Callithrix jacchus: one gene and its partner. The protein of the gene in region 2 interacts with the protein of the main gene of each other region in a biochemical or structural test. Links are inferred from orthologs where the notes say so. Each region holds a gene or a part of one and is shown on either strand. Other genes may lie near its edges.

Region 1 (3,820 bases), on a different chromosome or scaffold from region 2:
TTTTTCCTTTAATGATACTATGATACTCAGAGGTCAGAGAGCACACATGAAATCACTGAGATCATCCTAAATATCAAACTCTCACCCTAATGTAAGACAAAACCCCCTCATTTATTCTCTCAGACGTTTTGACACTCTTAAACATGAAGTCCATTAACCTGCTTCTCCTTCCAGTTAAAATCAATTTCACAAACATTTCTATTCTATTGTGAGAGTGAAATGTTGGGTAACAGCAACCATCACAGGAGGAAATCGCCCTGCAAAATCATCACACATTCAAAACATTTCTCGCAAGAATCTTCTAGAATCAGGTCTCATGAGATTTTGGTTGTGAGACCACCACAATTCATCTCTATGCTTTCTTTTCCAAAGTACATGGCCAGGTTTGAATAGCTTTGCATAATATCAACTCTTTCACATACAGTATATGTTTCCAGGTGGGAAAAGGCAGGTTCTAGAGGAAGAGACAAGGATACATGAAACTGAACCCTGCTGTGCAGGATACAGCGAGGTCCATGGGCACAGACACTGGCATGCTTGGGAATGTACAAAACTGACAGAAGGAGCCGAAACTTGCAAGTGGTGGAGGCAGGGGTGGCAGAGGCCAGGCCGCTATTTAGGAAACGTTAGGGTTAATGTCCAGAATCTAGCAACATGTTTGGGAAAAATAATTGACAACAGTTGAAGGACAACTTACTTGGGGTTTGGAGGGAAGAGATTCAAAGACATCAACAGATCATGGCCACACAAGGATGATTGATAGACACATGTGAAGGCAGGAAAATGGACTAATGGGGTTCCATTTCCTACTGCAGTGGGGCAGGAGTAGGGAAAGCTGCAAGTGGAAGCAATCATGGTGGGAAGAGGTAAACAGAAAACCAAGGTCCGTTTCTGACATGCTTTGCCTCCCTTCCTTCCCTATTCTACCTGCATACAGGGATCTTGAACTCCCATCTTTGTTTTTGTGGCCACAGAGAGTACAGAAAACAGCCTTGTGGCCACTGCTGACCAACAGAGCTACAAAAGCTAACTTAGAAGGGAGATGACAATATGGAAAGTGGAACAGAGAAACAGCTCAGGGTTTCAAACTCCTGTGCATGTCTTTGTGTCTTATGAAAGGGGCTGGGGTAGCTAATCCACCCATCAGCCCTTAATGCTAAAATAGCTGATAAATCTAGAGCCAAGAATATTTCCAAAAATACATGCAGATTTCCTTGGCCTATATATGTTATGAATTTTCTACAAACACGACCGATCAGAAAAAAGAGGAGAAGAAAGAGGGAGAGGGGAGTGTTTTCCATTAAAATAGAGCACCTGTACACTGCCCCTCCACACATGTTCTCAGAGTATCGTCCACATGCACAGGCTTAAAGCTAAAAACCCTTGTTGTCTGTGTCTGAAGAATTAAAAAGTCCCGATGCAGTGAGTGTTTGTTTGGATTTTGATATTGTTTATATTTTATATTATTTTGTTTTTGTTTTGTTTTGTTTTACTGGCGTCCTCCATTCAAACATTTACATAGGGATTTCTTTTGTGCTTTGATTCTCAGCAACTATGGAAATACTTCCTGGCAAAATAGGAAACAGAACAACAAAGGAAAGAGAAAACACAAAGTTAGTGGTCATGAAGGATGGTGTACTTGACAAGAGCGAAATTCTTTCCTGATCAGCAGGTCGCCTGTAGCCTTTGGGGGTTTTCCTTAAATTGCAAATTGTGCCCCAGCAGATCCCCGCTTTGGCGTTGAAGGCGGAGTGGCGTGTCTTGCTCTTTGCAATCGGAGAGATGAGTCACCAGGTTGAGTAGAAGGGGAGGGAGGGGAGGGTAAAGCTACTCTCCTAAGAGAAAACGTGTAACACTTACTCATTTAATGACACTGGAAAGGGAAAGGTGTCAGAGACTGCAATGTGCTGAGATAGCTTCCTGGTGAAGGAGGAATTGCTACTTTAATAAAACAAACACAGGCTATGCTTTATACCCTACAGAAATGCAACTGAGAACCAAATGATACCAAAAAATGCACATAGACGCTTCAGGAATGAGTAGACAGGGTGAATGCCTCTGTGGACTTGAAGACAGAAAAGGCTTTTTTCTTTTTAACCCTCAGCAATTACACTTTTATTACCTTGTCTCCCCAAATAAAAGAAAGTGCACTGTGAAAATCGGACACCAGATGTGGCTGCCACTGTTATCATTACCTATGATAGGAGCCAGTTACTGCATTTAAATTTCTCCTTAACACAGCCACAGACCTTTCTCATTTTTGTTTAAAGAGGGTCATGTTTCCATTTATACACTCATTTTTTTTCCAAGTAAGATTAAAAATGTTATGTAAAGGCCAGGTGGTCTGGCATGATGACATTACAGTGGAGCAGAAATGGTTATACGGTAATTTATCCACTGTTGTCAGCAATGCAGGATCTGGCTGTGATCATACATACAAGTCTTAGGAAGAACCAAAGAGAGAAGCAGATCAGCACTAGTGGCTTCATGGGTTTGTCTAACTTCCTGGAAAATTCTTTCTGCAGTAAGTAGCAGGATCTAGCAAGTGAACGTCAGACTCTCCATACCTAGTTGTTGGATTCCTGTGCCTACTTCACAGGCAGAGAGGGCTCCGTTGAAATATGAGTAAGTCTATTTTACAATTTCTGCTAAGGGACAGTCAAAAAAGAGGAAGAAATTTGCTAATCTGCTATGTAATAGTCTCACATACCAGTGTGGTCTCTCTGAGGTTGCTCCACTCCCTGGATGTCTGCAAACCTTATGACTCTTGTCCTCAAGTTCTTAGGTGCCATATCTCCTGAGAGAAAGTTCCTAGCTACCACTAGATGTAAAAAAAAAAAATTGCCCTGGATGATGAGGCTGGTCATTCTCATTACGTCACTCCTCTACTAGCGTTCTGAAGCAGTTTGCCCTCTTTAGAGCTGTATCCAGTTGAGGCCACCGTGTTTCGTTCTAGTCAATACTAACCATGTCCTGCAAACCCTGCCCAGTTGTCTGAGCCACCAGCTCTAGCCTCTGAGGCCTCTCCTTCTTATATATTATTATAGCAAATGCTTTGCTCTTTCCCCATAAACATGTAACATTTTAACATTGTAAGCCCAATATTTTAGGGAGGGTTTTGCAAAAGGAGGAATAAACTAATGAGAGGGGAAAAAAACTAGATAGAAGCAAGAGGTTTGTTATTATTTTTCCCCATCCCAATGAGAGGAAGCAGGGAAAGAGCCATCTTAGCTGTTTCTCTCAGGGGTGTTAGAGCAGAAGAAAGTGGTTATGTCAAGCCAGAAAGGGGTTAGAGAGAGAGTCAGCCATTGCCTACTCAGCTGAACAGCTGATGGCTACTGGGAATCATTTACCTATGAGTTGGGATTCCACCTTCTCATCTATAAGCTGGCCAGGCCTCCTTAGTTCACTCTGAGGGACACTGGGCCTGCTTTCAGAGTGACTGACTGGACTGATCATCTCTTGTTCTTTCTCATTCTGCATCTGGGCATAAGCATTAATGCCCGGGATCTTCCTAAAATATTAATAGAAACCATCACTGCTATGCACATCACTGTAACACATGCTTCTGGACCTGTCAGGGAGAAGGAAGAGGCTGGGGGTGAGGAGATGTGGATGGAGGGACACGCACCTTTTAAACTTGTAGATGACAAATACTGCTAGCCCCACAAACACCACTGAGAGCAGCATCAGCATGGCAGATCCACTGTGGGTTGGAGTGAGGTCCACCAGGGGGGCTGGGGGGAAGACAAAACACGGTCATGAGCAGAGAACTGGGCAGGTGAGACTCTGAGACGCTCAAACTCTTCACGCACAAGCA
Region 2 (3,820 bases):
AGATATATTTTGCCACAATAAAAAAAAAAGGAAACAGGCCAGGCACAATGGCTCATGCCTGTAGTCCCAGCACTTGGGAGGCCGAGGCGGGTGGATCACCTGAGGTCAGGAGTTCGAGACCAGCCTGACCAACATGGCAAAACACTGCCTCTACTAAAAATACAAAAGCCAGGCATGGTGGTGCATGCCTAGAATCCCAGCTACTCGGGAGAGGCTGAGGCAGGAGAATCGACTGAACCTGGGAGGTGGAGGTTGCAGTGAGCCAAGATTGCGCCACTGCACTCCAGCCTGGGCAATAAGAGCGAAACTGTGTCTCAAAAAAAAAAAAAAAAAAAAAAAAGACAAGTAAAAAATGTACTTGGCAAGTGACGGTTACGGGGGACAGGATCCCCTGAAGGCTCAAACCCTACCACATGCAGCTGAAGGTGCAGTGCAGCACTGTGATGCCCACACTCACCTTCGGAGAGCACGCTTGTTATGTAGACGCCTCGGAGGGAGGTCACATTGGTAAAGTCCGTTTCTCCGCCTGTCGTAGTGTAGAGATGTCGGTCCAAAGACTTGGAATAGACAATGCCTCGATCATCTGAGGTAAAGATTGTGCCAAACCCAGTGTCTGAAATAAGCAAACAAACAAAAATACTAAGTCTCGGGTGGAACCAAAGAGAAAAACAATAGTCTAACCACACGATTGTCTGCCGACTAAACGCAGTAGCCAATTGTGTCTCTTCATTATGAAGACTCAGACCTGAGAATTAATCAAGGTTTGATACTCAAGATCTTTATGCCCATCTTTAATTCTAGTACCCAGCTTAGTGCCTGGAATATGCCAGATGCTGAGTTTGTTGAATAAATTAATCAGATGCTACAGAAAGCTCTTCCCAGATATATTTTGGAGAGTTTCTGTGTTTAGTTTCCACATTTCTAAATCTTTACACTCTAGAACAATGCTTTTTAAACTATCTATGGTGAAGGATCAATTTGTAAGACTTCCAGCCAGTGCAGTGGCTCATGCCTGTAATCCCAGCACTTTGGGAGGCCAAGGCAGGAGGATCACGAGGTCAGTAGTTTGAGACCAGCCTGGCCAACATGGTGAAACCCTGTCTCTACTAAAGATACAAAAAATGATCTGGGCGTGGTGGCGCACGCCTGTAATCTCAGCTACTCAGGAGGCAGAGGCAGGAGAATCACTTGAACCCAGGAGGCAGAGGTTGCAGTGAGCCGAGATCGCACCAGATTTCCAATATGTCACAAACTGACGCTTTTGTAAACCTAATAAAATACTAATCATTAAAAATGAAAAGGCAGACAAAATACAGACCCCTAATTTTTTATCATTAGATCCAACAGACATAAAATTGCTTTGTTGAAGGGTCAGAAGAGTTTCTAAACTCTTGCTCTCAATCTCTGTACTTATCTGGTAACAGAGAGTCTGCACAGTCAGTACCAGTCTACTGACCATTCTTTGAGCAGCTCTGCTCTGGAACACCTGAACATACACACGAGCTACCTTAGAGCACCAAAACAAGCGGCATTTTTAACAGGGGCCACAGATGATTTCTAGGACAGAATAATCAGTATGACACTAATGAACTTCTAGGGGTAAGAGGAAAACTCAACATGTAAAAAGGAAAGCTGCTCAAAGCTTACATCTCTATGCTTTCAAAGGCGAGCCACCAAAAAGCTCTTACCTCCAGGTTCATCTACATGCATGAATACCATGTCATCATTCGCTGCCAGAATAGAATAGAACTGTTCCTGCCCCACAGAGGGGAGTTGGGCCATACTCCACGTGTCCCCTTGATCTGTTGAAACGTGGATCCTTCTTGTTGTATCCTAGAACAGATGCCAATATTTATCTTTCTAATTTTCTGCCAAGATGCCATGTACAGGGACATGAACAAGAATGTTTTTCTTTTTACAGAGACCAAGTCTCACTCTGTAGCCCAGGCTAGAGTGCAGCAGTGGCACAATCTCAGTTCACTGTGAACTCCATCTCCTGGGTCCCAGTTCCAGCAATTCTCCTGCCTCAGCCTCCCAAGTAGCTGGAATTATATGCATGAGCCACCATGCCTAGCTAACTTTTATATTTTTAGTAGAGATGGGGTTTCACCATGCTGACCAGGCTGGTCTCGAACTCCTGACCTTGTGATCTGCCCACCCTGGCCTTCCAAGTGCTGGAACTACAGGCATGAGCCACTGCGCAGGCCCAAGAATGTTTTAAATAATTACTATTATCAATTTCTCCACTGGGTACAATGGCTATAAATGAAAGGTCATAGTACCAATTACCAAAGCAATTTCTAGCCGCTAGCAAAGTTGCAGGTAATGGAACAATCCATTCTATTCTAAGTAAGGCTATCTTGGCTTTCTCTCTGAATTCTTCATTCTGATGCAGCCCTGTAAGATATTGTATGTCTGATCTCTGATAGTCCATCTCCTTCAGCAGAGCTAAGGATTTGATGGGAACATTACTAGGCTGGCTTGACAGCCATTTGCATACACTCACTCCGATAATTCTTAAAATGATGACTGATGCGTAAAAGTTTGGTCCCTTTCAGACGATCCCTGCATAATTTAAATACTTATATAATTAAGAGTCTAGAAAATAGCGATGAAACTCATGTTTGGGAGATCACAAGAAAAGTCAGGATGTAACATACCTCCTCTCTAAGGAATTCTCTCAGAATGGCCAGGAGGAAGGGAATAGGCATGGGCTGGAAAGAGGCCGGCTAACTCAACAGTCCTGATTTCCTTCTCCCTCCCAGTCTTCTTTGCTGGATTCTTCTCTTTCCAACCTTTCAGTTGTGGGTGCTTCAGGGATTGCTCAGTCCTCCTACCTCTTTGCTACTTACTTACCCCTCCAGAAGGTATCATCTAGTCACATGGCTTCAAATACCATAGCAATTAGGGAGATTCATATACCCAAATGCTCACTTAACATCTCCATTCAGATATCTAATACATGTCTCATATCTAGAACTGAATTTTTTTTTTTTTTTTTTGAGACAGAGTCTCACTCAGAGTGCAGTGGCATGATTGTCGCCACTGCAACCTCCAACTCCAGAGTTCAAGTGATTCTCATGTCGCAGGCTCCCAAGTAGCTGGGATTATAGGCACGTGCCACCACGCCCGGCTAATTTTTTGTGTATTTTAGTAGAGACGGGGTTTCGCCATGTTGGCAAGGCTGGTCTCAAACTCCTAACATCAAGTGATCTGCCTGCCTTGGCCTTCCAAAGAGCTGGGATTACAGGCCCAAAACTGAATTCTTGATTTGTCTCCACAGCATGCTCCTTCTGCGGTCTTTGCCATCCCAGGAAATGGCACCACCATTCAGGGACTTAGGATGACGACTCTGAAGGTACCGTTGAATCTGCTCATTCTCTCACAACCCACATCAAATCCATCAGCAAGTCCTATTAGCAATATGCTTATAAATATATCCACAGTCTCGCCCACTGCCAAGGGCCTGGCCCAGCTACCACCTCCCTGGCTTGGACTCCCGAGAGCGCCCCTGTCAGGCTGTTCTGCACACACCTATTCTTCAAAGAGAAGCCAAATCCCAGCATACCCCTGCTCACAACCCTCCCACAGCTCCCAAAACAGGAAGAGTAAGGCCCATATTCTAATTGTGACCTAGAAAGGCCATGTAAGGTCTGGCCGGGCCCACTGTGGTCCCACTTTGGACTACTCTTCTCTATGCTCCCCTCATACTGCCCTTCTCCCCTTTGCTTAGATTGATGAAGCATGCTCCAGGCTGAGGGTCTCCGCACTGGCTGTGCCTCGTCCTCCTCTCCTCCCAGATGGCCACATGGTCATGCTT

What was found.
Region 1: the proteins of SORT1 (region 2) and SORCS1 form a complex in vitro, tested with the Homo sapiens proteins (2 studies listed by BioGRID and IntAct, with this or other methods). The link is inferred for Callithrix jacchus from reciprocal best matches to the Homo sapiens genes SORT1 and SORCS1.

What each region holds. Positions count from the first base shown.
Region 1 is NC_133513.1:99,578,592-99,582,411, forward strand, and holds part of SORCS1 (VPS10 domain-containing receptor SorCS1), read right to left. Parts: intron 3,738-3,820; coding exon 3,632-3,737; intron 3,515-3,631; coding exon 3,354-3,514; intron 1,836-3,353; coding exon of another isoform or gene 1,700-1,835; exon of another isoform or gene 1,568-1,699; coding exon of another isoform or gene 1,546-1,567; exon of another isoform or gene 1-1,545.
Region 2 is NC_133508.1:147,225,045-147,228,864, forward strand, and holds part of SORT1 (sortilin), read right to left. Parts: intron 1,834-3,820; coding exon 1,689-1,833; intron 614-1,688; coding exon 458-613; intron 1-457.